Arabidopsis thaliana: one gene and its partners. The protein of the gene in region 1 purifies or fractionates together with the protein of each later gene. This does not show direct contact. Each region holds a gene or a part of one and is shown in the gene's direction. Other genes may lie near its edges.

Region 1 (8,581 bases):
ACTAGTTTATGATGAGAAATGATTGTTGAAATCCGGGGACTTTCTGTAACCGCAGGGCGTTTATAGTCAACATTGGTGATATGATGGAGAGATGGACCAATGGATTGTTTCGGTAAACTTAAACCAGTTTACCTAGTCGTGAGTGCGGTTTTTATGCGTTCTTCACATTTCGTATTTTCTTGTAATGGGTTTAGGTCTACATTGCACAGAGTGATGCCGGTGGGAAAAGAACGTTACTCGGTAGCTTTGTCTTGTTTCTTTCTTTCTAATTTCTATACAAATTGATAAAGTTTTGAGTTATTTAAAGGAAAAGTTTTTTGTAGGTGGTGTTCTTCTTAGATCCCAATCCAGATTGTAATGTGAAATGCTTGGAGAGTTGTTGCAGCGAAACTTGTCCCCCAAGGTATTTCTTCTTGAATCTTAATCCAATTTAAGGGTGTGAGGAGAGGCACGTTACACGTTTGTTAAATCATTTGGTCTTCAAGTGTAAAAGAATAAAAGTTTAGTCCTTCTCTCATAAAGATTTAGTTCCATCGGTGCAGATTCCCGCCTATTCTCGCCGGCGACTATATCAAGGAGCGTTTCAGGCTAACATACGCCACTTCCTAGTCTTATGTTTGTGACGAAATGTAAGAAAAAAATAGTGTTCAAACTTCTACGTACCATAATGTTTAATTAGTGAAACTTATGGAACTTGAAAATGATTAGTCAGTCAAAGTCTCAAAGATAGACACGTTTAAAAGCCGTGGAACTTGAATGGGCGTTTACGTGTTTGGACCATACTCATACACATGGCGAATTTTCTGTGGTTTATAGGGACATTACTGTTTCAATTCAAAAGACAAACATTTTAATATTTACGAGAATAATACGGTTGTATACAAGTGTAATTACTTAACTATACTTTGAAGGAAACACAAATATTAATCAAGTTTTACCATACAGTTGACAAGCAAATGCATTTGACAGACACAAAAACACAAATGAATGTTGACATAGACCATACCCAAAATCACATTTCAATATCAAAATCTATATATATATATATATATATTTATGTATTTTCGTTATTATTTGAACCTGCAAAACGCAGTCACCATTCGGGCCCTTAAATCTTATTTTTATTTTCTTCGAAATGTGCATAACGCTACTATACCTGCAAAGTTGGAACAAAATACTATTTTAAACACAAGATAACAAAACATTATCTTATCTTCAATCTAACTATTTTATCTTCTTTTTATCAACATGTTCTTCAGATGCATGCATTTACTAATTCATATGGAAACACATATGGGAAAAAGAAAAAAAAATTATCCACACATCTGATTTAACGATATTTTAAATTTTATTTTAGTACACAAATACTGAAATACAACCACTTTTTGTCTGTCAAATATCCTTTGTTATACAGCATATAAAATTTTCTATACGTAGATATCCTTTTTTTCTTAGTCAAATATATATATGAGGGGGAAAAAATCACATTATTCCATACTTGCGAGGTTTTATTTGCAAACAACTTAATTTGTTTTCAACATTCGTTGACTAATTAACTTATATTAGGAATATATAATCCAAAATTTATTATTTTCCACGTGGGTTTTATCTATGTCGGAGAGTGGATCTGAGAAAAAGATAAACCCAAAATATATTAATTATAGAAAGAAGAAAAAAAAGAGTCTATATTTAAATCAATTTGTCTTTCTCTTCTTTTATCTCCGAAATAAAAAGCTTAATTGTTCTTCCAACTACTCTGCAATTAAATCGGTAGAGTGAGGCATTGTCCTTCTTTTTCTCCCTCTGTTTTTTTTTTTTTTTTTTCCTATCATCTCTGAGAGTTTTCTCGAGAAACTTTTGAGTGTTTAGCTACTAGATTCTGAATTACGAATCATGGAAGGAATTGATCACCTCGCCGATGAGAGAAACAAAGCAGAGTTCGACGTTGAGGATATGAAGATCGTCTGGGCTGGTTCCCGCCACGCTTTTGAGGTTTCCGATCGAATTGCCCGCCTTGTCGCCAGCGATCCGGTGAATTTCTTCGCGATTCTCGTTGATTTTTGTTCTGGTTTCGTTTGGATTCCGGGAAATGTTTTTGCGGCGAGGGAATATGATTAGGTCTCTCTTAGATTTGTGAATTTCTCAATCTTGTTTATATAGGTATTTGAGAAAAGCAATCGAGCTCGGTTGAGTAGGAAGGAGCTGTTTAAGAGTACGTTGAGAAAATGTGCCCATGCGTTTAAAAGGATTATCGAGCTTCGTCTCAATGGTATGGATTGTTCTCACACACGTATTGTTATCAAGGTTTTTTGATTGCGTCTTATTATTGTGCTCTTTCATTTTTTGTTTGTTACAGAGGAAGAAGCAGGAAGATTGAGGCACTTTATCGACCAGCCTGCCTATGTGGATCTGCACTGGGTACTACCTGCGTCTCATTTATCTTCTGGAGACAGGATTTTGATTCTTTGATTCATTGTTTTTGTATCTCTGCTCTATAGGGAATGTTTGTGCCTGCTATTAAGGGGCAGGGTACAGAGGAGCAGCAGAAGAAGTGGTTGTCGCTGGCCAATAAGATGCAGATTATTGGGTGTTATGCACAGACTGAGCTTGGTCATGGCTCAAATGTTCAAGGACTTGAGACAACTGCCACATTTGATCCCAAGACTGATGAGTTTGTAATTCACACTCCAACTCAGACTGCATCCAAAGTAAGTATACCAAGAAGCCTTTGATTGAGTATTATGCACAGTTTCTCTTGGTTGTGTAAGATTTTCATCTGTCTTGATTGTTTGAATAGTGGTGGCCTGGTGGTTTGGGAAAAGTTTCTACTCATGCTGTTGTTTACGCTCGTCTCATAACTAACGGAAAAGACTACGGTATCCATGGTATGTACCGGGAAAAGTTTCCAGTATTTTTTTTTTGTTCAATTTTTCTTGCTTGGGTATTGCTTTCTTAAACTTTCTCTTCCAGGATTCATCGTGCAACTGCGAAGCTTAGAAGATCATTCTCCTCTTCCGAATATAACTGTTGGTGATATCGGGACAAAGATGGGAAATGGAGCATATAATTCAATGGACAACGGGTTTCTTATGTTTGATCATGTTCGCATTCCTAGAGATCAAATGCTCATGAGGTCCTCTCTCTTTGCCTTTCGGGTCTGATTTTAATTAGCATTCACGATGTAATGATAGTTCTAGAGGAAATTGCTTGTGCATAAACTCGGGCTTATGGTTCTACATTTTTCTCCTCTTTCAAAACGTTTCAGGCTGTCAAAAGTTACAAGAGAAGGAGAATATGTTCCATCGGATGTTCCAAAGCAGCTGGTATATGGTACTATGGTGTATGTGAGACAAACAATTGTGGCTGATGCTTCCAATGCACTATCTCGAGCAGTTTGCATAGCTACAAGATACAGTGCAGTGCGGAGGCAATTTGGCGCACATAATGGTGGCATTGAGACACAGGTACTTATTCAAAAATCAAGGATACGCATGGTTGTTTACACCCATTGATGTTGGATCATAACAAATTTCAAAGTCTATTTTACCTTGAAAAACTTTGCTTGTAAGAATATTTTGCATATTTAGCCAAATTTGTCTGTAAGTTTCTGGTGAACTGTTTTTCTTCGGCTTGGTTTTGCATAGCTTTTTAAAACTCTCATCAACGTCTGCTGACTATTATGTTGGCTAGAAAAGGGAATGTGATATATTTATGCTTGTTGTTATCACAGGTGATTGATTATAAAACTCAGCAGAACAGGCTATTTCCTCTGCTAGCATCTGCATATGCATTTCGATTTGTTGGAGAGTGGCTAAAATGGCTGTACACGGATGTAACTGAAAGACTGGCGGCTAGTGATTTCGCAACTTTGCCTGAGGCTCATGCATGCACTGCAGGATTGAAGTCTCTCACCACCACAGCCACTGCGGTAAGTTCCAGAGCTGATCCTTTATACTCACTAGACTAGATTGATTGGTTTCGTTTCTCTGAGGATCCAACTGCTCACATGTTGGAAGTTTGTTCCCTCCTTGACATTGTTTGGAGGTGTATTTAGAGTTGAAAATTCAGCTTAAGGGTACTATTGGGTGCAGGATGGCATTGAAGAATGTCGTAAGTTATGTGGTGGACATGGATACTTGTGGTGCAGTGGGCTCCCCGAGCTGTTTGCTGTATATGTTCCTGCCTGCACATACGAAGGAGACAATGTTGTGCTGCAATTACAGGTATTTGTCATCAACTGCGAGCTATTCTCACTTACTAGAATAAATCTGTCAGCTCAAATAGATTTCTTAGCATGTGGCTCGTTATCTTATGTCTCTCTGGACTTCTGTCAGCTCAAATTGCTTTCGTATTGTGAGCTTTGTACTTTCTTAGATATGGTTAATTGCAGGTTTATGTCAATTTCTTCTGTTTCATATTTTATTTTGGCTTTTTGTCACCTGCAATTTGTTTTTTTTTGTTTTTTTTCTGGTTGATATGCAAACCACATTTAACCGCTTTTGAAGTGTTTGGTTCATTGTTGTTTCCCCAATGTTTCCGACAATTCAATTCACGCTATTGTTTAGGTTGCTCGATTCCTCATGAAGACAGTCGCCCAGCTGGGATCTGGAAAGGTTCCTGTTGGCACAACTGCTTATATGGGCCGGGCAGCACATCTTTTGCAATGTCGTTCTGGTGTTCAAAAGGGTGAGTTTTCAAGTTTAAATGTCTTTTTCTTCGTCCTGCTACAACTACAAACTAATGATCTTGTCTCAATATAATTCCCGAGTTAATGATAAAGTTGGTTTTTTTTTTTGGGCATGTAGCTGAGGATTGGTTAAACCCTGATGTTGTACTGGAAGCTTTCGAAGCTAGGGCTCTCAGAATGGCTGTTACGTGTGCCAAAAATCTCAGCAAGTTTGAGAATCAGGAACAAGGTACTCTTCTAACTCCATGAATCCAGAACAATTGGTTGCCATGTCAGCTCATAAGCCAAAGGACCAAACTCTCACAAATTCTTCCTGTCTGCAGGATTCCAAGAGCTCTTGGCTGATTTGGTTGAGGCCGCTATTGCTCATTGCCAATTGATTGTTGTTTCCAAGTAATCTTCTTCTTCACCGTTTACACGTATCAAACAAGTTAATGATTCTCCCTCTCAATGTCAGTTCCTGAATTTTGTGATCTTTGTCTTGGTTAGGTTCATAGCGAAACTGGAGCAAGACATAGGTGGCAAAGGAGTGAAGAAACAGCTGAATAATCTGTGTTACATTTATGCTCTTTATCTCCTCCACAAACATCTCGGCGATTTCCTCTCCACTAACTGCATCACTCCCAAACAAGCCTCTCTTGCTAACGACCAGCTCCGTTCCTTATACACTCAGGTTCTTTCTTCCTCTCTCTCTCCATCTCTGCATTTGATTCCTTTTTAAGCTAAGTTTTAACACGTTTTTGTTGCTTCTTTTAGGTCCGGCCTAATGCGGTTGCACTTGTGGACGCCTTCAATTACACCGACCATTACTTGAACTCGGTTCTTGGCCGTTACGACGGTAATGTGTACCCAAAGCTCTTTGAGGAAGCGTTGAAGGATCCATTGAACGACTCGGTGGTTCCTGATGGGTACCAAGAATACCTTCGACCTGTGCTTCAGCAGCAACTTCGTACCGCTAGGCTCTGAAGAGTTTTCTTTGCTTGATACTCGATATGGTTAATCACATTAGACTTGCTTCGTCCTTCTTCTTCGTCTTCTTCTTCTTCTCGCTTTGAATAATTTCGCAGTTTAAAAACTGGCGATGCCCTTATTTATATGTAGCAATGTAATAGTTAATGTACGATCGTCATATGGCGGAATTTTAGTACTATTTTTCGTTTTCAATGCAACATTAATACAATTGATCGTTTCTACTCTGAGAAGGATATGTGGGATATTTGTAATCTTCGTATATAGTCCAATCACATATATTGACATTTCTCTATTGCTTTCGTTAAGATTGTATTATGTAATATATAGGGTTAGGGTTACTTAGGCAAAGTTATTTCAGAAATTATGCAACTTCCATTGTAGAAATTTTTTTTACTCATACGCTGATATTTTAAATAACTGTTCACTCCGTTTTAATTTAGTTGTTGTTTTATCACTTAAGTTTTGTTTTATAATTATTGTTTTGGATTTTCAATGCAGATATTTTGGTAAAAATTTTAGTTTTATCTTCAAACTTTTAATGTCTTAACTAATTAAAAAGTTAGAGAATATATTGAGCATAAAGTAAAAAATTAATTGTTTTCTTAATTTTTGTGCAAAACTTTAAACGACATGTAATTTAAAACAGAAGAAGTATAATTTTTAAAAATGTAATTAAGCTGTAAGAAACAGTGGTTTGTAAACAAAAGAAACCTGTTTTTCATATATCCTTCCATTAAATTTTCACCAAAAACAAAGTTTGGGAGTTAACCCACGATTTCAATGTAATGCGTCGTAGGAAGAAGAAAAATTTGTTTGCAACATCAATATGAAAGAGAAGTTTGCTTAAAATGAAACATGCATATGGAGTTTTCAGGATTGTGCTTTGTTTCAATTAGCATCATTTTCCGACAGAAGACTTCCAGACCTTTATATTAATTAAGCATTTAATAACCGAATTTGGTAGGTAAATTAAAATAGAGCAAACTAATGTTTTGGTTGTAATCACCTTTATCAACCAACTGTTTTAAAAAAACTAAAAAAGAGTTTCAAAAGTGGCATTTATCTTTCATTTTCTAATGGTTAGTAGTTAAAGTGTTTAGGGAATTAAGACATCGACCCGAATTAAATTTTACTTTTTCTAATATATTTTCTTCACCAAGCTAGCTAGCTAATCTGACTTTCTACTTATTTATTCCCTTATTTAAACTTACGTACAGTTTTAACTTTTAAGAGTGTGTCTGTATATAAATCCATTAATCTATATATTATGATATTTATCTTAAATAAATATTATTGGTCGAGATATTTTTATGAAATCTGAACAGAAAACACTCCAAACAATTTACAGTACTTGCCAAAAAAAAATTACAGTAAAAAAATTCTTGATTTCATAAAAAAATCACTCAATTTGTTTACTACTGAATAATCAACATATCTCTATAGTCTTTTCACTTTTATGTAAAACGTTTATTTTTATTTTTATCTTAGTCTTAATCGTCAAATGGACCCCACGATAAAACTAATACGTAACTTGCTCCCTCTATATGATAATGTATACATTTTCAACATCATACTTTGTACATATACTGATATACACTACATGTGTTTACGTCGTTTTGCGTACGTGTGTCGTCCACAGCAATCTTCACTCAAATTCTTTACTAAAAATGCTTAATCTTTAAATTCTATAATATATCAAAAAAACTTCTACAATTATTTAGGAACGTATATCCGCAAATGTGCATAACCTAATCCGTCTATTAAGCAAACGTCCAAGTAAAAAACATTGACTGACAGTTGTTAAATAATATATTTTAAAAAAAAATTATCGTTACTAATAAATGGCTAGTGGGTTCATTCCAATTCTTTCACTTTTATTAATAAGTCTATGTTATTTTATGTCAATATTTAACATTTTCGCATCAAAATGGAGTATATAGGACATACTTTAACGGTTTAACCCCTGCTAAAATGACAAGAATTCAGATATTCAATAACGTGATACAATATATAAAAATATATAGATTATATATATAAACGTAAATACTACTATTATTACCTGAGGCATTTTTTAATGAGTTAACTCTTAAGACGAATTTTATTTTATTGCTAAATTAGTTTTATTTGTCGAAATGTGAATTAAATTAATTAATAAAAAAAGATATTTACAAAAGTGTTTGGTCAAGAAAAGAAACAGAGCAATAATATCAGAACCAAAACCAGAGAAACTTATGAAACAGAGCACACAAAGCTAACGAACTAGGAGTTGCGTCTCGACTGAAACCATAGCTGAAGTAGTCCCTGGAGGCTGGAGCTTCCGATTTTCGAAATAGTGTAGAGGCGTATACTGCTAAATTAATAATGAGATTTAAGATGTATTAATATTAACCTTGTCTTTGTCAAACTTAATCCGAGTGAAAAACGTGGGTTAGCTTTGTAGGCAGACATGGGTCATGGTCGGGCAAACGAAAATATGACATTTTTGGGAAAAAAACAAAAGACGGAAATTAGAAAAATTGTAAAGTAAACTAAAAGTAAATTCGGGCCCACAAGTTACAATTGAATCTAATTTTTTCTAAAATCTACTGTACTGTGAAAATGTCTACACAAACAGAAAAAAACAAATGATCTCAAGTTATATCCACATGTAGTAACTGGTGGATCTACTCGAAAATAGATATTTCAAACTTCAATGAAACGATGGCCAAAGCATATGTCAGAACTTTAAAAGAAATATTATATTATAATTTTAGATAAAATTCTGTTTTTTTCTAACCAATATATTTGTCTAAAAATTGGTTCAAAACCAAACAGAACAAATTAATTTAAATATCGATTTCGGGCTGTTTCAAGTACGTATTTTTTTAATTTGGAAGAACTTGGACGATTTAGGAGAAACGAGTGATAACAGTACACTAGAAT
Region 2 (7,755 bases), on another chromosome or scaffold:
TCAACTTTCTACATATCAGAAGCCAAACAGGCGAAACTTTGTTTATATCGGTCATTGACTTCTCTGACGCATCTCCTTGAGATTTCTCCAAAGGTATCTTCCGCTAGCCATATCAACGAACGTCCATAACCCATTATCCATCTTTCTCTTGAAATCGAGTCCTTGTTTTTCCTTGGCTTCGGCTTGTAATAACTCGTCTGAGAATAGTTCCGGCGTAGAATTCACCGTCCTCCACGCGATATATCCTGCGAGTACCGCCGAGAAGAACACTAATACAAATCTCAAGGGACACATAATTTCTTGATGGATAAAGGGAAAATTATAAGAAGAGGAAAAAAGAATTTGGATTTTGATCTCAGGCTTTCGAAGAATGGATCTCTAGGGTTTGTGAATAGACAATTGTAAGAGAAAGAAAATTAAACAGACGTTTTCGATATTTATAGAGTGCATTACATGTCTCCTTCTCCCATCGAGAAAAGGAAACGCGTTTCTATTTATATATTACTTGTAGAACAATTTATCTCTAGAAACTACTATTTATCATATTTCAAAATTTTGGATTTTGGTTTTGTCATTACCAAATTTCGAATTTTGTATTCTAGAAACAAATTCACAGCAATTATTTTTTTAACAAAAAGAAAGCGTAATAAGACAAATCATGAAAATATCTAATACATGAATATCATAATGTAGTTGGAGAATTTGGACTAAGCTAGACATTGGAGTCTTGCAAACGTTAAGTAACCGGTGTGACCTCTTGCTTCACTACAAGGCCGAGCCATGACGACTGAAGAAGCATTAGAAGAGTTGTCCTGTGAAACAGTGTCGTTTTCGTTTGAACGGTGCTTTCTCTTGCAAGGCCTCATTCCTTCATTGTCCTCCTCGTGGCTCTCACCAACCATGCTACTGGTATCCATTTTCACTTCCTTCACTTCATATGTTCTGAGAAGCACCTCAAACGTTCTTATCTCTGCAAAAAACAAACTCATCATGAGCAAAAACCGGTATAAGAAAGAATGAAACTCTCAAGGAAATAAGGACTTATATGCCTATGACAGTTGGTTTTGATTCCCCTGACTTTCCAAGGCCAAAGAATGTCAAACTATTTCTCTAAAGATACTTATCTACTTAAAGCAATCCTTTCGACTTATTAATCCAAAGATGTGTGACCATAGAAAGTCGATGATACATATTGGAAAAAATTGTAGACTAAAGAACAGAACTTCAGTCTATACAACATGATTTTAGTACTAGCCACTAGGATTTGAAAATCGAGGAGAGGTTCAGTCCCAAATTCACTACTTTAGTACTTTGATTTTTAGGATCCTTCCAAGGCAAGAGCATTCGGATAATGTGTAGATCTAGAGCTCTTTTAGTTTGAGTTGGAGAAGAAAGTAGAAAGAGATGTTGTAAATCAGAATAAACTTACCAATGAAATCTGATCTGAGGACTTCACAAGTCCGTTGTACTTGCTCGATGCAAGGTGAGAAAGAGCATAGAACTCCATCCTGCTTTAACATCTTTGCTGCAGAAGGAACCGCAAGCCAAGGCTGTGGAAGGTCTAGAAACACAGAATCAGCCAAACCTGACAGTTTCTCAGGAAAACCCTCTCCTTGAATGTCTCTAACCTCTACGGTTACTAAACTACTTATGCCCGTCTTCTCAAAATCTTCCCTGTTGCAAAGTAAAGTAAAGGATGAATAAATACTATAGCTTCAAAAGAAAAGCACAACGAGATAGCTAAAGAAAACGAAAGTTTCTACCTTGCAGAGACAGCTCGCTGCTCATGGAAATCAAATGAATAAACGTGTCCAGTTGGAGCCACAGCTCGAGCAAGTGAGGTCGAAAGCGAACCACTACCTGTGCCTGACTCAAGAACAACACAGCCAGGCACGACTTCTAGATACATAACCACAAAGCTAATATCCGCAATGTAAAGAATTTGAGTCCTGTGGCTTAAAACCAATGTCCATAGTTCAGGAGTAGGAGCCAACAGGTACACAAATTTACCCTTGTTGCTGAATACTTTCGTCCCTAATGGTTTCCCAATCCAATCCGAGTGCTTATACACACCAAAACGGTTCTGAAGCACACCGTCTTTACTTACTTTAACTGGTTTCATCACATCATGTCTTTCGTAAACAATAACTAAGTCCCCATCTTCAATACACCTTTTGAATGAAAAGGCTTTCTTTGACTCAGTTGGTAACATCTTGAGATTATGAAATCACTTGTAGATTGAGTTCCAGCTTCTGCTCTGCAATTCCAAGTCTCATTGTTAATTACTAAACAACACACTTTTTAACTCAGAAAACAATGAATTCTCACAAATCACGATATATATTCCCAATCTAGCTATCAATCCAAAGCTACGCATTCTACGCAATATTGCACAGCCAATCAAACACATTGAGATTCAAAATCATTGTAATGAATTAGCTTAGATGCACAGAAGAAAAACAATTTAAAGTTTGATTAAGTTAAAATTTAAGAAAAAAGCTAGAAAAATCCCATTCACGGATCCAAAAGTCCTAACTTCAACGAAGAGACACAATTTTTTAATACAAGCGGGTAAAAAACTGGAACCAAACACAATTACCAGCTTCTATAAGATAAAAAGCTGAAAGAAACAGTTTAACAATAGCGAAAAACGACAGAAATACTCACAGAGGAATAATCACGAAGAAAGCTAAGAACTTGAGCTGATAATGGAGTTTGGGTAATAATGTTTTGTGAGAAGGAAGAACAATAAATCTGACCAGACAAAGAAATAAAACCTCTAAGTAGGGTTTTCGCTTTCCTTTTTTCAAATCAAATCGGACATTGAGACCAACCGGACCATATTACAGATTTGGTACCTTCGAACCGGCAAATCCGGTTTGGGTTTATATAGACAGAAAAATTTACTGGGCCTTATGTTGGGCCTACTGAAATAATCTATACGGCTCTCTTTTCCTTCTTGTTTACCTTGCCTTTTCGCCGGAATCGTCGATTATTAGAGAGCTCAGAGCACACTTTAGCAATAAACTTGCCGACCGAAAGCTGCAGATTCACTGATTCAGTGATCGAAGTTGAGAGTTTGGGTTGAGGTCGGAGTCTCGGATGCTGAATAAGCTCACGCACGGCGTTTTCACGTACCGTGCCAGCCTCACCGCCATGTTATCTTCTTCAACCTCTGCTGGTTTATCGTCTTCGTTCGTTTCTTCGAGATTTCTTAGTTCCGGTATATTCTCTAGTGGCGCTTCGAGGAATCGCGTGACTTTTCCCGTTCAGTTTCATCGCGCATCAGCTGTTCGATGTTTTGCTTCTTCAGGCGGTTCTGATAGAATTCAGGTTCAGAATCCTATCGTTGAAATGGATGGTGAGATTCTTTGCGCAATCAGTGTTCCTTACTTACATTTGATCGTAGTTTCCAGATAATTGGTTGGATTGGTATAAGTCATTTGTTTATGTTCTTACTGAATTTGGTATCTTTGAGAATGTTTCTAATTTGTTTATATTTTGTGGAAATTCAGGCGATGAAATGACGAGGGTGATATGGAGTATGATAAAGGAGAAAGTAAGGATGTAATTTATCACCAAGTCTGCAACAGTTGGTTCATTTTTTTTTGACAGAGCTCACATGTCTGATTTCTTGTCTTTGCAGCTTATTCTTCCTTATCTGGATTTGGACATTAAGTACTTCGACTTGGGGATTCTGAATCGCGATGCTACTGATGACAAGGTTACAGTTGAAAGTGCAGAAGCAGCTCTTAAGTAAGTGCTATTGATTCTTTGCATTTTCTATGGTTTAGATTCTTTTAGTAACAGAAAACATTTTAATTTCTATGTGAAATAAGCTGATTTCGCGCTTAAAACTTTTATGTTTGCAGGTACAATGTTGCTATCAAATGTGCCACTATAACTCCTGGTATGTGATGTCCTTCGCAAATCGCAACACATATGCTGCTTGTTCCGATCAGAGGAAGCATTTTTACATCTTCTGTATGTTATTTTTGGCAGATGAGGGTAGAGTGAAGGAGTTTGGACTGAAATCAATGTGGAGGAGTCCTAATGGGACGATCAGAAACATTCTAGATGGTTTGTCTCTGTATTGTCAAAAAACAATGCATGTTTGCTGAATAGGAATATCTTGGTTAAATTGCTTGCGACTTTTTATTTTATCCTGTTAGCAGGTTCTTTTACAATCTAGTATCTACACATTTCTTACACAGTGTTCTATATTTTCTAGGAACCGTATTCCGTGAACCTATTATGTGCAGCAATATCCCCCGGCTTGTTCCTGGTAAATTTATTTGCCTTGTTATGAATCTGTGTTAGGATCTGTTTTGAGATACCAAATGAGAACTCAAATCTTTTGTCTTTATAGGTTGGGAAAAGCCTATATGCATTGGTAGACATGCCTTTGGTGACCAGTATCGTGCCACTGATACAGTAATTAAAGGGCCAGGAAAGTTGAAAATGGTTTTTGGTAAGATCATACCAAACTATATTCATTAGACAATGAGGATTCTTCAATCATATAGTTCAGATTCTAAGTGGATACATCTCTTGTCTAATTAGTCCCAGAAGATGGAAACGCACCTGTGGAGCTAGATGTATATGATTTCAAGGGCCCAGGTGTCGCACTTGCTATGTACAACGTAGATGAGGTCTGTCTCTTTTAGTAACTGGCTTTAGTTTTGGCATGGTTTTGGTTTCTGACAACCATGCTGGTTTTGTGACATGCCAGTCAATTAGAGCTTTTGCTGAGTCATCTATGGCGATGGCATTAACTAAGAAATGGCCATTATACTTGAGCACCAAGAACACAATTCTCAAGAAATATGATGGCAGGTTTGTTTTTATCTTCTTGGTGATTTGAAGTCTGGGTTTCACTTTTCAGCAAGCGAGCTGCTTTAATATGTGGTGGAACAATACAGATTTAAGGACATATTTCAAGAAGTTTATGAGGCGAATTGGAAGCAAAAGTTTGAAGAGCACTCAATCTGGTCCTTTTTCTTAAAAAATTGTGTTCTGCGTCCTTTTTCTTTACATATTCATTAAAGGTAATATGTGAATAATACTGTTGGTTTAGGTACGAGCACCGGTTGATTGATGACATGGTGGCTTACGCAGTCAAAAGTGAAGGTGGCTATGTCTGGGCTTGCAAAAACTACGACGGTGATGTTCAAAGCGATCTTCTTGCCCAAGGTATAAATTAAAAAATATAGTTCTTAAAATTATTATTTTTGTATCGATACAGCAACTAAGATACTTAATGCTTCCTTTCTTTATTCTTTTCTAAATGTAGGGTTTGGCTCATTAGGCCTCATGACCTCCGTTTTGGTTTGTATCGTTAACCGAAAGCCAATATTCAATTTTTCTTTGCAAATGAAAGTCTTGATATGATATGTTTTGTTCAGCTGTCCGCTGATGGGAAAACACTCGAGTCGGAAGCGGCTCATGGAACAGTAACTCGGCATTTCCGACTGCACCAAAAGGGACAAGAAACCAGTACTAACAGCATAGCCTCAATATTTGCATGGACACGCGGCTTAGAACACAGGTCTCTTGCCTTTCACACACGGTCTACATTACTAGTTAACTGAGTTCTGCATTTCTTTATGCATTTACACTGACAACGTTCTTGTGTCTTGTAACCTAGTTTCTCTTGATTTTCATTTTGATGGATTTTTTTTACCCTTTTTGCTTCTCAAGGGCGAAACTGGATAAGAACGAGAAATTAATGGATTTCGTGAAGAAGCTCGAGTCGTCATGTGTAAACACTGTTGAGACAGGGAAAATGACCAAGGATCTTGCCCTTTTAATCCATGGTCCCAAGTAAGTAGTCTTTCCTTTTCTCACTAGCAGCAACTTTTCTATTACAATCTGGTCATGTGCATGAAATACGAAAGAGCTTAATCTGTCTTGAACTTTAATGTGAAATCAAATCCAAACTGATCCTGTTCCAAGCTGATGAATGTGCTGAAAACTCTAATTAAGTTGTGTATTTTAATAGAAAACCATATAGAAGCCAAACCGATTCATACTGGATTAAGTTATAATGCTGTTACTGTTCTATTATCGTTCTTGATGGTTTAATAAAACATTTTTAATGCAGGGTGAGTAGGGATTTGTTTTTGAACACGGAAGAGTTCATTGATGCAGTAGCCTCCAAGCTCAAAACACAGTTCAAAGAGCTTCCTCTTGTCTGACCATTCCTGGGAATTGGGAACAATACAAAAATAATGCTCGCAATAATTCATAACCCAACACAAAACAAAAATAATATTGGCGGGTTTATATGAATATTTTGGTTGGAAATAAACGTTTTTGCTTAATTTTTCCAATTTATTTTAAAAATTTGAGTGACAATATCTGTTTTCAGTTTCGTATCCAACACTAATTTATACATACACTAAAAAGTGATCAATGGCGATTTGCAATATCAGTTTTGCTGGGTTAAGTAGGTGTTAAAATTGTTGAAAATGAACGGTATACTTGAAGAAATTTTGTCCAAGAATCAAAATCTAAAACAGAGATCATAGGCGTCGGTTTAATGTTTGTAAATTCGATTATTTATAGCAGAACCGTACCGAACCAGACCGGGACTGCTAAAACCCTTCTTTTAGTTTTCGTTGTCGGCTCAGTCCTCACTTCACCGGTGCGTTAAACCCTTTTCCGTTCTCATTCCCTCTCTTCTCCGCATCTCTCACTCTCTCTGTGTATGTGTGATGTCATCGATTGTGAATCGAGCTAGTTCAGCTTCTCTTCCTAATTTCCTCGCATGGCGTGCTCTGGGGTTTCGCACCATCTGCTCCGGCCGCCTTGGTTTCGCTCCGTCTGTTCCAGACTCGCCGGTCTCCGCAGGAACCAAAATTTTGGAATCATTTAAGGAGGAATTCGAAGTCGGATCCCGCGTGGTCTCGTTTGAGACTGGAAAAATCGCTCGCTTTGCTAATGGTTCAGTTGTTCTCGGCATGGACGAGACCAAAGTTCTCTCTACTGTTACTTGTGCTAAGACCGACTCGCCTCGGGACTTCTTACCTCTCACTGTATGTTACTAATCTCCCCACCATTTCCCTTTTAGTTACCGATTTTGAATGAATTGTCTTAAGGAATCTATGATCTGTGAGGAATTAAGAAATGGTCTAGAGATGTTTGGTACCTTTATGCTGTATACATTTGTAGAATTCTCTCAGGAATCTGCTATTGAAATTGCTTTATCTGTAATGGTTGATGGTGATTTGTTTAAACTGATGTTTATGATTCTTCTTGGAAACTACTGTCAGGTTGACTATCAAGAGAAGCAATACGCTCAGGGATTGATTCCAAATACGTATATGCGAAGAGAGGGTGCACCAAAGGAGCGGGAGCTGTTATGTGGCCGGCTCATTGATAGACCAATCAGACCATTGTTTCCTACAGGGTTTTACCATGAAGTTCAGGTATGAAAATTTCTAAAAAATCTTTGGGATATAGATCTATGTGAAAGTTTGTTTTTTGGTATCTTCATCTGTAAATTTTGTCACATGCAGATAATGGCAAGTGTTCTATCGTCAGATGGGAAGCAGGATCCAGATATACTGGCAGCTAATGCATCATCAGCTGCGCTCATGCTATCAGATGTTCCATGGGGAGGGCCCATTGGAGTCATCCGGATAGGAAGGATATGTGGGCAATTTGTTGTCAATCCAACTATGGATGAGGTAAAAAGTGGTATATTGGTATATTCTCTACATTTACAAATTGTAGCCTCTGTTTTGATTTTTT
Region 3 (6,113 bases), on another chromosome or scaffold:
TAAATAGAATTACGAGTTCACGCAAAGGTCACAACACTTGTCTCTCTTAGCTTCAATAAGTTCCATTAGTTGATAACAACACTCCAACGTTAGAGATCCATCAAACCCCATACACGAGTCTATTTTGTGTATTTACTATGTCTATTTATCAGATTCAAATGCTTGGTTAGAAGTTGCTATGGGTCTCATATAGTCAGAAAATTTAAGGTACTCGTATTTAATTCGTATATGTACATCAGTACAGATAACATGTACATCTATGTCTAATTGATCAAGTTGTTAGAATAAAGAATAATTATTTAAATTTAGATGATGGCCATTTTAGGTTATACTAGACATAAAAATGATAGGATATATATAAAAAGTTGAAGACATAAAAAGATCAATACATGATAGGATTTATATATACAAGCAAATGAGTACTGTATGAGTTGTGAAAGATAAACATATATACCACCACGAAAGAGTGTGATACAAGTAAAATTCATTTAATTAATATAAAATATAGTAGGTGGACATGGAGATGGAATACTATATCATCATAGAATTTCATTTTATGTAATGAAATGATAGTCGTTGAAAGAAAACATGATAAATTAAAATGGAATTCGTAGGAATACGTAATAGAGTTTGATCATCTTCATTGATATGACCATGTATAATACTATAACAACACAAGTGACTACACCTACTCAATCATGTAGTATAGTCATTACTTGTAGACTTGTTGTAGCACTGTTTTTCTTTTCCTGACGTCATATTTGTAGCAAGTCCGATTAAATTGTGTAAGTGAGGTTCTTCTGTGACGTGAACACGTGACCTAACATTCTCAGCATATGGGCATTAAAGTTGGGCTAGTCAAATCCATCTGAAATGTGAGTATTGTTCTGCGCCACGACGTCGTTTAACGAACAGCGGTGTTAAACTTTTTTTGTATTTTTTCCTCCAGTGGTGTTAAGCTTCAGACGAAGGCAAGAGTTAATTTAGTTGAACAAAGAAACCATCTTATATTCATTCTGGATATGGCGTTTAGTTATACTACAAATGGTGAATAACAAGAAAAGCTAAACAAAAACAAGTAAAAGCATTCTCAGAATCACCAAAGTTAAGCTCATGAATCTTTATCCTTGGATAAGCTCCATGAGAGTCTGCTTATAACATTTTCGTCTACTATTTTGTAGTGGTGAGACAACCGCCTGTGAATCGTCCCGCAACACTTGTCTACTTTGCTTTGATATTTACTGTACAAAGCCGGTATTGTTACAGATAGGATGGTCCCTGTTCACACCATAAAAAGTATAAACTTCATATAAGAATTTGGTTCACTGAGTTTAAAACAACAATGTCGCAGGAACTAAAACGAGATCAACAAGCCAACGTGGGGGATGAAACTGAAGGATCAAAAAACATAGAAGCTTTTTCCTTTCATTTGCATTTAAGGATCAAGTTACTAACCGATGTAAAGAAGAGTGCAGAGAGATATATAGCTACCAATGGCAGAGAGAAGCCACAGACAAATCACCACCTGCTAAAGAAAAATCGTCAGACCAACAGTTCAGATGCTTAACGGTTCCCATGTCATTTCACTCAACATCATCGTGAGTTTCTGAATGGGTTAGCTTCATAACCTTGAAGAAGAGTCGAAAATCGTTGCCAACTGTGACATCATGAGCCATTACAAGCAAGTGATTGAGTTTTATACGGAAAGAAGCTGCAGCACTATTCACCATTTCCTCTGATAGAACAAGCTCTGGCAACGAATGCAACTGTCTGCTTATAAAGAGATAACAGGTAGAAATCATCACTAATCAGTCACATAACAGCAAAGAATTAAGAAAAAGAAGACTAGTGAAAAGTAGAGCGCACCTATTCCTAAAAGCAGAAACCCGGGCATGAACGAATGATATCATGATCACGATGAGTAAGACATCCGAAGAAACAGATAAGAAAGGCAACCCGGAAAACTCGAATATAAGCCAGGCTACAGTTGATATAATGATAACCCCCAAAGAAAGATGTCGCCTCCTCCATAAGAGCAAGTCAGCAGCTACATCAAAGAACAAAGCCATACAAAAATCACAAACAGTAGCTTTTTGCTGGACCTATGAACTCATCATGCGTATCCAGAGATTTGAATCAATCAATTTCTCATTCAAAATCAAACCTAAACCTAACTTTCACCTGCCAAGTTTTCCATTTTCTACTATACCCAAAATGCTAAATGTACTTACACACATGACGATTTTCACAACCAACCAAAATCAGAAACCCTAACTATTCCAACTATCATCCCCAATTTGAATTTTCTGTTCTGTAAATCCGAGAAAATTCTCATCACAAACTACCAAAATGATGAAAAAACACAAATTCTGGAAAAAAGAACTCGCCTTTGCCACCACCCATGAACTGATGAACCGTAATCTGCCGACCCAACAATCGATAATCCGATGACGATCCTCCTTCATTTCTTCCATCGAAATCACCATCGATATCACTTAAACTATCCATCGGAGAATTAAAAAAAAAAAACCGAATTTACACAAATTCTCCGACTTCCAGGTTCCTATTTCGATCTCGCCGACTCCGATTTGAAATTTACCTTAAAGATACGATCTCAGTACAATGGTTTGTGAAAGCAGCTAGATTGATGGGAGAATGACAGCGATTGGGTGGATTATCAAGGAGGAACCAAATAGAATTGGCTTTCACATGCATCCAACAAATTCAACATTTGGAAATTCTCCGTTTCTAGTCAACTTTCTTCATTTCTTTATTTTTTTCCTGTGAACAAACAAAAAAGTAACATTTAGCCGTCACAAAATATTAAAAATTACGCTTTATTATATTAAGGCCTTGGGCTCACTAATCCAATATTACGGCCCATAAATAAAAATCACATGTCTACGTGTCAAAACAGTCACTTTTCTCTATACATGACAGGCAGTGATATTATCATAACCCTCCACTTATACACATGTTCATTTTTGGCGACCACTAGAAGGAGAAACAAATCTTCATTCCAACAATGGCGATTCGTTGTGTAGCGAGTAGAAAAACCCTAGCCGGCTTGAAGGAGACATCATCGAGGCTATTGAGGATCAGAGGGATTCAGACTTTTACGCTTCCTGATCTTCCTTACGATTATGGCGCATTGGAACCGGCCATTAGTGGAGAGATCATGCAGATTCATCACCAGAAGCATCACCAGGCTTATGTTACTAATTACAATAATGCTCTTGAGCAGCTTGATCAAGCTGTGAACAAGGGAGATGCTTCCACTGTTGTTAAGTTGCAGAGCGCCATCAAATTCAACGGCGGAGGTGTGTTTGTGTGTCTGACTCTCTTTTTTTTTTTTTTTTACGATCTCGATTTCTATGTGTTTGATCGATTGGTTTGTGTTTAGATCGTGTTTGGATGATATTAGCAAATGAAGTAGTTGATTTAGGAGAGAAATTTGGTTTGAACAGTGAAGCTGATGAGTAATTTTGATGAATTGGGATGAAACTTCTGTAAGAATCAATGAAACTTTTATCGGTAATGCAAGCTTTCTTAGATAGCTACTTTTGTTTGCTGGGTCTTGAGATCATAACCAGTTGATTTAGTATAGAACTTTTGTTAGGAACATTGAAGCTGTTGATTAATTTTGATGACTATAGTTTGGTATTAGGATTGTTGCTTCTTGAGCTCCGGACCGGTTGGATTGATAGAAGAGAAATTGGCAGAGAAACTATTGGAAATAAATTGAGTTTTTTGTGTGCTAGAGAATGGGAATTGATCGACTTTATTTCTAACGTGCAGGTCATGTCAACCATTCGATTTTCTGGAAGAACCTTGCTCCTTCCAGTGTGAGCTTGTGTTTTGAGTTTCTGTGTATTTCTTCGATTTTGTTGTTCTGTAATTGATGGTTTGTTTTAATGTATAACAGGAAGGTGGTGGAGAGCCACCAAAAGGATCTCTTGGTAGTGCCATTGACGCTCACTTTGGCTCCCTTGAAGGTCTGGTGAAAAAGATGAGTGCTGAGGGTGCTGCAGTGCAAGGCTCAGGATGGGTGGTCTGTAGTCTAGTTTCACCTTTTTATTTCATCTGCTCACATTGTCGACTCTGGTGCTTTACGTATAATAACCATGGTCCTTGATTCGCTTGTTTCTGTTGATTAATTCAGTGGCTCGGACTAGACAAAGAACTGAAGAAGCTAGTTGTTGACACAACTGCCAATCAGGTAACTTATCCATGATCAGGAATGCGCTATTGAATATGTTCAAAAGATTTCTTGGTACTCATGAACATCTGTGAGAATAATGGGTTTTAAAGAAAAAGAGTTTGTTTCGGTTGGTGCAGGATCCATTAGTGACAAAAGGAGGAAGCTTGGTACCTCTGGTGGGTATAGATGTTTGGGAGCACGCCTACTACTTGCAGGTAACAACACTTTTGATACCTTAAGTCTCATGAGTTAGCTTAAAAGATTAAGCTCTCTAATCAATCTGTATTCTCTCATTCAGTACAAAAATGTGAGGCCTGAGTATCTGAAGAATGTATGGAAAGTGATCAACTGGAAATATGCAAGCGAGGTTTATGAGAAGGAAAACAACTGAATCGTTTACACGATGACATAAGGAGATGAACCAGTTCCAGCTCAGCTTTTGTTTTAAGGTTGTCTGAAACAAACTTACAGTGTCTCTTTGGTTTTTAAGATTTGCTCAACTCAGCTGTGTGGTACGTTGTTTTACAATGAAAGTTTTCAAGAATAAAAATTTGCTATTATTGTCAGAAAGCGCTATTGTTTATTCTACGAAGAAAACAAAACGGAATCTTATTGGTATAATAATTACCTCATTTCAATAAAACAATAACTAATTTTCTCGTTTTTCACTACTCGACACATATATGACAGGAATATTATAACGAAGAAATTTGGGATTAATGAAATTTGTGAAATAATGCATACACACTTGTGTAATAAAAATGCATTATCTTTGTGTCTGCGTTGTGGAAAATGGATCATAGTCAAGTCTCATAAAAAACGCGTTCAATTCAATTTATACATATTTCGCCTAACTTTTGATTCTTTACGCCTTGGCCCCATTCTTATCTTTTAATTTTATCTCTTTCTTGGAAGTTACCCAAACACTAATACAATGTCAATTCAAATGGTATCCTTGACTCTTTTATGCGTTTAACTTAAAAGACTTTCTTAGTCTAAATAAAATTGATACATAATCATAGAAATTAAAAAGCTGATTAACGTTTATCAAAGAAATATTGATGAAACGATACAAGATGATAGTCTAAGTCTTGATCATTTCGACTTACATTACCAAATAAAATCCTCATTTTTCCTAAACTTCTACTGTAAATTTCTGTAATACATGTAACATTTACAATAATCTCTATTTGAAAACGAAAAATCAAAGAATCTCTAAAGAACAAAAAAAGAAAGAAGTAAGAATTAGGACAGAAAACTCTAGAAAGAATAGTGCTAAGTCTTGACGTCGTTAGTTTTCTTGCTGGGTCCAGACCCCGGACGACTCCCTTTCGGAAGAGCATTCAACACCAAGGACCCGAACTTTCCGGCGACAACTTCAGGAACAAAAGAAGAATATTCCGTCTTGGTCTCCTGCTCGCCTCCGCAACCAACCACCGCCGACTTAGAAACAGGAGGGATCTCTCCGGAGAAGATGACTGGAACAAACTCTCCGGGTAAGATCCTCGCCGTCGATAGAGAAACAGAGATGAAAAGAAGAATCAAAAGTAAAGATCTGTTAATCGCCATCTGTAAAAATCTTTTTGTGGACTATTTTTTTGTTGGATTAGTCTTGCTTGGTTTGTAAAATGATGAAGTGGGTGAAGATCAAAGAGAGAGTGTATCCATTATATATATACGGAGTTTGTGAAAGTGCGAAAGGTCAATGGGGGGAGTTGGAAAACTTACGCGGCAAGTGTTCGGACTAAACAATAGTGTTGAATAAATTGGTCCTTTCCATCGAGTCCAATTAAAAATATCATTTTCATTTGTAACGAGTTAACTTTTTTTTGTTTTATTTTTAAAATTCTAAACGTGTGTGGTAAGCTGAAATAAAACATAAAAAAACAATGATTCGGTTATCGATTTTGGT
Region 4 (6,891 bases), on another chromosome or scaffold:
GTTCCATGTTATAGTATAAGCAAGACCTGATTTTGCTTGGAACATATTTGAATACGGTTTCGTTGGTATAGGATGTGTTGAGGTTGTTGGATGTGTCACCTCCGATGAGCTTCAGAACTGGGATGCTTTACCTCAAGGGGTACAACAATTTTCCTTATTACTGTGTTCTATTCTTTGACATTGAAAACAGCTCGTTATCGATGATTCTTTAGTATAATAAGCAAAAACCTCAACTGTTGTTTTGGTATGTAATAGGTGAGGCTTGAAGGACAAACTAACTTTTGTTGGCTATGTGAGAAGCCACAGGTGAAAGTCACTTCATCTTTTGGCTGTTACTGTTTTGTTTAGATTGACTTATTTGACATTTGATTCTGTGAACTCTTCCAGAAACTGATTATTCCATTTGAGATGCGTGGGTACCAGGGCGTCTATAACTTAGAGAATAAGGTAATCTTGCTGTTCTTCAAAGCCTAGGGATTGGTGGGTTCTTGTTGTAGTATAAATTAGTACCAGTTACTTACTGTATTTCTAAATGAAACAGATTTATGTAGCAGCAGCTAGAGGTCTTATGCCTTCTCAAAACTCTTTTAAGGTGAAATTCCCTCTTCCTGACCCAAAAGACCCGTTTTCCTTAAAACCTGGTTCTATTCCTTGTACAATGCAAGAGAAGAAAGAACTTGATTCAAAGCAAGTTACCAGCCTCACAGCTGCAATCAAGCAAGTTACCAGCCTCACAGCTGCAATCGCCGGTGCAAAAGCAGCGGCGACACAATTTTCTAAGAAGGGACAAAGTCTCCAAACAAATAATATATTTGATTACACAACAAGAAGCAAGAGCAAAGTTATTGAAGATGAAGCAGCAGAATCCCTAGATAACCCGGTTCTTGGTTCTGGTGGAACGTCTGACCGTACTTATAGAACAAGAAGCAAGAACAGAGGCACACAGATGGGTGAAGAAGTATGTAGTGAAAGCAGCAACAGCAGCAGCAAAGTTGAATCTAGTCAAAGAAGTGCAGTCACAAAGAGTGAGGACAGGAATACAAGAATTGGTGAAAGAAGGTTTGATCCTGGATCTGCCCGGGTACGTTTATTATCTTACATTAAGCGATAATTACAACAATAATTGTTGACTTTGTTGTTGTCTGATTTTATTTCACATGTGGAATTATTTCAGATCATGGCCGCTGCAATTAGGAACTTGAAGCCACCTTCTTGATCTAATGCGTCAAGGTTGTACCATATTTTGCATTCTTTCTAAAACATGTTCATTTCAAAGTTTGAGAAGTTCGTTTTAGAGTTAGTTTATAGGTTTATTGTATACACATTCAATTTAACTTATATGAGAGAATAATCATGTGGACTAATAAATACACAGAGCAATGAGTTTTGAGTAGACTGTTTAGTCGAATTTTACTAAATTACTATATTTTGGTCAGATTTAGAAGAATGTTTATATTTTTGGGGGGTTTGTCCCACATCGGTAGTTTCAAAATATCAGTTGTGTATATATTTAGTCGAAAACGAAAACAAGTAACAATAGTCATTGGACAAAGTGAATGGGTCACATGGGCTTGTCTAAGTTCCGACCCAGGAAAGTCCCCGGGCCACTTTTCGCAGAGATGCGGCCTCGGTAACGAGAGAATCATGCGGTGGAGAGATTCTATAAGCTGAGACGCGTGTGTGGAGCTTCTGTTGTCTCTCCGTCGATGACATCATGGCCGTTCGATTCACGACAGTTATTCACTTGGTCCTCATCGGACTAACTGAACGGGGCTTATGTTCCAATGACAACAATTTTTTTCTTTTTGAGTAATCCCGGTTTACTCAACTTACTCAACCGTACCGGTGGAAGATTCCTTACAGTAATACTAAAGCTTTTGGCTTAGCTCATTTTGGTGATGATAACAGTAATATCATAAGTACATAATAAATAATTGAAACTTTTGTAAGTATCCTCATTTTTTCAGAAAGTAAATAATATCAAATGTATTGAGAAAACAATAAATGATCATTTTTTTATTTTAATTAGACTCAAAATTAAATAACTGGAAATTAAAAAACCAAATAAACTGAAAATTATTATCTAAAATACAGTAACTAAAAATTTGTCTTGTCGATAAGTCGGATAAAATTTATTCATATAAATATTTAGTCATATACAAGTAAAATAATACTACAAATAATACACAATCAGTCGATGTTATATACAATAAAATTATAGATTTATAAAGGAAAAAATTATCCGGCGATATATCTGATGTCAATCTCTAGTGGGTTAGCATTTTTATTGAAAAATTGTATTGCTTAGTTTTTTTATTGTTATATTGTTAGTGAATTAAAATGGTACTTTGGTATTTTCATATATAGACTTTTTGAAAATAAAATCTTAGATTTTTTCTAACAAGAGTTACCAAAAATATTTTGGAATTAAATGAGCCGGCGACATAGAAGAATAGAGAGGGTTAAATTGAAAATTCATAAAGTAGGAAAAAATTAGGGTTAGACTCGATCATTCATAGCTGCGACTATTCTCTGCTCTTTCTACATTTTCTCATTTTCTCTTGGGCTACTTTTCGACTACTAACAAATCCAACGATGAGGGGATTGGTGAACAAGCTCGTGTCCAGATCTCTCTCCATCTCCGGGAAATGGCAGAACCAACAGCTTCGTCGTCTCAACATCCACGAGTATCAGGTTCTTCTTCTCTTCATTTCCATTTGATAGTTGCCTAGATTCGCTTTTGTCAAGTCAGAATTCGAGTACGATCTGTGTCTTTGTCTGTTGTTTCTGTGTTGATCCACTGATTGATTTGTGGTTGATAGAATTCTCTGGGTTTAGGATAATGTAAAGTTTGTATTGTGATTCTGATACAACCAGGGAGCTGAATTGATGGGGAAATATGGAGTTAATGTGCCGAAAGGAGTAGCTGCTTCTTCGTTGGAAGAAGTTAAAAAGGCTATTCAAGATGTTTTCCCTAATGAAAGCGAGGTAAATTCAGTGAGGGATTCGATTCTAATCTCTATTATTAGTTGTTGTCTAATTGAAAGAGTGTCATTTTCGTGTGATACAGTTGGTTGTTAAGAGCCAGATTTTGGCTGGTGGAAGAGGTCTTGGAACATTCAAGAGTGGTCTTAAGGGTGGTGTTCACATTGTTAAACGTGATGAGGCTGAAGAGATTGCTGGTATTGTACAGGATTTCTTGTTTGTGGCTTTCTGGAGTCTGTTTTTTGTTGTTGTTGTACAAGTTATTGATCTATTTCAAATCTTTATTACTTGTAGGAAAGATGCTAGGACAAGTACTTGTCACCAAGCAAACTGGTCCTCAAGGCAAAGTAGTTAGCAAGGTTTGTTATCTGTTATTCATGATTGGTGTTTTTTCTTCTATTATTGTCACTGCTCTTGCACCTTTGTTTATTCATTGTGTCTTCATTTTGAGCAGGTTTACTTGTGTGAGAAATTGTCACTCGTCAATGAGATGTACTTTTCCATTATTCTGGACCGTAAATCTGCTGGACCGGTATGCTACTACGCAAATGATGAGCTGCTGCTATTCATTTCCCTACTTCTAGGCATGCTGTTTTCATACCCTGCTGTAATATCTAAAACGCTTTCCTTTCCTATATCAGTTGATCATTGCCTGTAAAAAGGGTGGTACCAGTATTGAAGATCTTGCTGAGAAGTTCCCTGACATGATCATCAAGGTTGTTACTGTTTGATTCGTATTTGGTGGTCTGATCTCCAGTAAATATCATTCTGAGATTCTTTCTCATGCGGGTTTTTGACACCTCAAGTCATGGTTTTGCGTAGGTACCAATTGATGTATTTGCAGGAATCACTGATGAAGATGCTGCTAAGGTTGTGGATGGTCTGGCTCCCAAAGCTGCTGACAGAAAAGATTCGATTGAACAAGTGAAGAAGCTATACGAACTCTTCCGCAAGACTGACTGCACAATGTTGGAAGTGAGTTCTCTCTCACTGTCTTTTTTCTACACACTTCTTCAGTTATAAATATCTTTTGTTGAACCTCCAAATTTCTCTTGTAGATCAATCCCCTTGCGGAGACATCAACTAATCAATTGGTAGCTGCTGATGCCAAATTGAACTTCGATGATAATGCTGCGTTCCGACAAAAAGAGGTTTTCGCCATGCGTGATCCAACACAGGAGGATCCACGAGAGGTCTCTGTCTATCTCTTGTATCATCAAGAAAGCCATTGTTATGTTAATTCGATAGGATGTTAAAAGGAATAGTGTGTTGTGTCTCATAGGTGGCTGCTGCTAAAGTTGACCTGAACTACATCGGTTTAGATGGAGAGATTGGTTGCATGGTGAATGGTGCTGGATTGGCCATGGCAACCATGGACATCATTAAATTACACGGTGGAACACCCGCCAATTTCCTTGACGTTGGTGGAAATGCTTCTGAGCACCAGGTAAAAGGAACCTTCTTTCTTTCTTCACTTTTGGGAATCATTGGAATGAAAACCAATTTTAATAGAGGTTTGTGTCAAAAAATAAGGTGGTGGAAGCGTTTAAGATACTGACATCGGACGATAAAGTGAAAGCAATCTTGGTGAACATATTTGGTGGGATAATGAAATGTGATGTGATTGCTAGTGGAATCGTGAACGCTGCAAAAGAGGTGAGTGAGAAACAACCTTGTTACCATAATATTTCATATATTCATGATTGAAAATAAATCCGAGTGTTTGTGTGGAATGGCGAGGACAGGTCGCATTGAAAGTGCCAGTGGTGGTTCGTCTAGAAGGAACGAATGTTGAGCAGGGAAAGAGAATCCTCAAGGAAAGTGGAATGAAACTCATAACAGCTGATGATTTGGATGATGCAGCTGAGAAAGCGGTTAAAGCTTTAGCTCACTAATCTCTCTATATATACCAAAAGCCGGTTTGTTAATTGTTTTGTGGTTGACGCCCAATTTACACTTTCTTGCGGATATCATTTCCTCAAACAGATCAATAATGAACTGGTCTCCTTTTTTTGTGTGATCCATCCAAAGAGATTCAAATCAGAATTCTCAATATCTTTTTGTATTTAACCAACTCATATGGTTGATACTAGGGTTTCAAGTTTATCTCATACGTACTGTTCCTATCATGAATAAAAATCGTTTTTGTGGGAAGCCACACTATAGCTGTCACTGAAACAACAAAATTAATCCCTCTCTCTACAAAAGGCTTTCACAAAACAGAGCTGTCCTCTGTTTCCAATTTAACGGTCAAAACGATAAACTTATTTTTTGATAGAATGTTAATTATATTACCAAAAGGAAAGAAGATTATTTACAAAAACTTTTGACCAGGATTGCAGCTCCATTGTTGTAGTGATGCAGCTCTATTGCTGAGGGCTATGATGAAGAGGAAAATCACACTAACACTACTCAGCTCTTGTCCAAGAAGTTTTTATTCATATATAGGGTTTCTAGTAAAGTGAAAGATGCTGTTGATTTGTTCTGTAAGAATGCTCTTTTATATTTATGATCGACGTCAATGATGATCTATGTTCAAGTGATTTGGATGATAGCACCGAAAAATATTTGTCTAAATTCTCCTTGCATAGTTAATAATAGTACAAGAATGAACAAGAAAATCTAACAATTGGTGTGTTGTGTTCAATGAAAATTAGCCATTTGGAGCTAGCAGCAAAGTCTCTATATATGTCGTCTCTCCTTTCAAAAATCATCTCTATTGTCGAATTGAGGCATAGATCTCACAGAACCAGTCTCAGACATATATTCCGACATGTTATCGACATCAGATCTTCTTGTCGATCTTGATGACCCTCCATTAACCGCGGTTTCTTTCGTCGACTTCTTCTTCCTCCTAGATTTCTTTGGAATTTCCGGTAATCCACTAGGCCAAGAAGACAACTCGTCTTGTTCTTCAGTGGCTTCCTTTGGTCTCCTCGACGATGACGATGTCCCTTTGTTAGAAGAGCGACGTTTAGTTTTGTCTGATGATTTGTCTTTTGTCGGAGAACCTTTCTCGGACGCTGCTTTCCTCGTAGATTTTGGTAGGTTTGGCAAATCTCTAGACCGACCACCATATTCCGACATACATTTTATGGAGGAATCATCTTCTCCGACTCCTTCAGCAGATTCGAATCCCCCGCCGGAGTTGAACTCAGTCATCTTTCAAATCACATAACATTAACCAAATCAATTCGACATTTTCTGAAAACGTTTTAGGTCAAATTTTTAATATATATGACCTCGTAGATTTGAGTCAAGTATTAATCTAGAGCTCACATCCATCCAAATATGCGTAGGATAATAAAACAATCTTTCATTTGCCTATTTTATCACGATTATTGTTTACGCCTTTTAAGAATTACCAAAGAAGTAGAAAAGAGTAAAAACATACCCAGCTTGGTGCGGTGGCATTAGCGGATGGTCCATCCCAACCGATATGGGCAACATGTTTTACGTCCGTTGGATTTCCGATTTGTATTTCTTCTTCTTTTTCACTTTCTATCATCATTAAAAGAAAGAAACAAGAAAGTATAATCAATCATTTAGATTCATCCTCAATCCATATAAACGTACTTGCAATGCATGCATGCAAATTTTCTACGTGATTTGCATCATAGTAATTCAAAACTGATCATGAAGTTCGAGTTTTTATATAAGGAAAAAAGGATTTATCATATGTATAAACTCTTATGCGAACAAAAATCAGAAGAAATTAAACAAGAGATCTATAGGGTGAACTTACCAAATACTTGAGAAATGTATCGGAGCCCTTTCAAGAGGCTTTTCATCTTGGAGCTTGACATTGTGAGTTGCATAGATCTCTTTTTAGGTTTATGATTTCTTTTTTAAATAAGAAAAATGGGAGTACAGAAGAACAAAATGATAGGTTTTGAAAACTCACTT

Evidence for each region.
Region 2: the proteins of ACX1 (region 1) and AT5G14590 fractionate together in Arabidopsis thaliana (co-fractionation; one large-scale study listed by BioGRID). This does not show direct contact.
Region 3: the proteins of ACX1 (region 1) and MSD1 fractionate together in Arabidopsis thaliana (co-fractionation; one large-scale study listed by BioGRID). This does not show direct contact.
Region 4: the proteins of ACX1 (region 1) and AT2G20420 fractionate together in Arabidopsis thaliana (co-fractionation; one large-scale study listed by BioGRID). This does not show direct contact.

The regions. Positions count from the first base shown.
Region 1 is NC_003075.7:9,422,002-9,430,582, reverse strand, and holds ACX1 (acyl-CoA oxidase 1), read left to right. Parts: upstream 1-1,688; 5' UTR 1,689-1,893; coding exon 1,894-2,031; intron 2,032-2,160; coding exon 2,161-2,269; intron 2,270-2,356; coding exon 2,357-2,418; intron 2,419-2,498; coding exon 2,499-2,708; intron 2,709-2,797; coding exon 2,798-2,885; intron 2,886-2,970; coding exon 2,971-3,133; intron 3,134-3,265; coding exon 3,266-3,464; intron 3,465-3,730; coding exon 3,731-3,928; intron 3,929-4,091; coding exon 4,092-4,223; intron 4,224-4,565; coding exon 4,566-4,686; intron 4,687-4,805; coding exon 4,806-4,916; intron 4,917-5,010; coding exon 5,011-5,080; intron 5,081-5,176; coding exon 5,177-5,360; intron 5,361-5,443; coding exon 5,444-5,653; 3' UTR 5,654-6,049; downstream 6,050-8,581. Other genes in the region: AT4G16765 (2-oxoglutarate (2OG) and Fe(II)-dependent oxygenase superfamily protein), read left to right, coding at 56-112, 195-240, 324-403, 543-609. UniProt on the Arabidopsis thaliana protein: Catalyzes the desaturation of both long- and medium-chain acyl-CoAs to 2-trans-enoyl-CoAs. Most active with C14-CoA. Activity on long-chain mono-unsaturated substrates is 40% higher than with the corresponding saturated substrates.
Region 2 is NC_003076.8:4,701,975-4,709,729, reverse strand, and holds AT5G14590 (Isocitrate/isopropylmalate dehydrogenase family protein), read left to right. Parts: upstream 1-2,903; 5' UTR 2,904-3,102; coding exon 3,103-3,361; intron 3,362-3,515; coding exon 3,516-3,559; intron 3,560-3,646; coding exon 3,647-3,756; intron 3,757-3,872; coding exon 3,873-3,910; intron 3,911-4,002; coding exon 4,003-4,080; intron 4,081-4,231; coding exon 4,232-4,285; intron 4,286-4,369; coding exon 4,370-4,471; intron 4,472-4,563; coding exon 4,564-4,652; intron 4,653-4,732; coding exon 4,733-4,836; intron 4,837-4,922; coding exon 4,923-4,991; intron 4,992-5,077; coding exon 5,078-5,193; intron 5,194-5,293; coding exon 5,294-5,328; intron 5,329-5,405; coding exon 5,406-5,548; intron 5,549-5,700; coding exon 5,701-5,823; intron 5,824-6,103; coding exon 6,104-6,197; 3' UTR 6,198-6,432; downstream 6,433-7,755. Other genes in the region: AT5G14602 (methyltransferase-like protein), read right to left, coding at 52-294; AT5G14600 (S-adenosyl-L-methionine-dependent methyltransferases superfamily protein), read right to left, coding at 708-970, 1,430-1,674, 1,764-2,212; AT5G14580 (polyribonucleotide nucleotidyltransferase), read left to right, coding at 6,717-7,037, 7,275-7,430, 7,521-7,691. UniProt on the Arabidopsis thaliana protein: May be involved in response to oxidative stresses.
Region 3 is NC_003074.8:3,414,990-3,421,102, forward strand, and holds MSD1 (manganese superoxide dismutase 1), read left to right. Parts: upstream 1-2,950; 5' UTR 2,951-3,025; coding exon 3,026-3,320; intron 3,321-3,798; coding exon 3,799-3,845; intron 3,846-3,925; coding exon 3,926-4,051; intron 4,052-4,162; coding exon 4,163-4,219; intron 4,220-4,338; coding exon 4,339-4,416; intron 4,417-4,499; coding exon 4,500-4,592; 3' UTR 4,593-4,903; downstream 4,904-6,113. Other genes in the region: AT3G10915 (Reticulon family protein), read right to left, coding at 1,112-1,278, 1,456-1,525, 1,629-1,770, 1,867-2,047, 2,388-2,467, 2,600-2,715; AT3G10930 (uncharacterized protein), read right to left, coding at 5,239-5,544. UniProt on the Arabidopsis thaliana protein: Destroys superoxide anion radicals which are normally produced within the cells and which are toxic to biological systems.
Region 4 is NC_003071.7:8,802,979-8,809,869, forward strand, and holds AT2G20420 (ATP citrate lyase (ACL) family protein), read left to right. Parts: upstream 1-2,363; 5' UTR 2,364-2,595; coding exon 2,596-2,694; intron 2,695-2,877; coding exon 2,878-2,988; intron 2,989-3,070; coding exon 3,071-3,182; intron 3,183-3,279; coding exon 3,280-3,344; intron 3,345-3,439; coding exon 3,440-3,517; intron 3,518-3,626; coding exon 3,627-3,701; intron 3,702-3,807; coding exon 3,808-3,960; intron 3,961-4,043; coding exon 4,044-4,178; intron 4,179-4,267; coding exon 4,268-4,432; intron 4,433-4,518; coding exon 4,519-4,641; intron 4,642-4,730; coding exon 4,731-4,880; 3' UTR 4,881-5,193; downstream 5,194-6,891. Other genes in the region: AT2G20410 (RNA-binding ASCH domain protein), read left to right, coding at 72-139, 256-306, 388-447, 542-1,081, 1,175-1,216; RIC6 (ROP-interactive CRIB motif-containing protein 6), read right to left, coding at 5,689-6,147, 6,380-6,486, 6,731-6,803. UniProt on the Arabidopsis thaliana protein: Succinyl-CoA synthetase functions in the citric acid cycle (TCA), coupling the hydrolysis of succinyl-CoA to the synthesis of ATP and thus represents the only step of substrate-level phosphorylation in the TCA.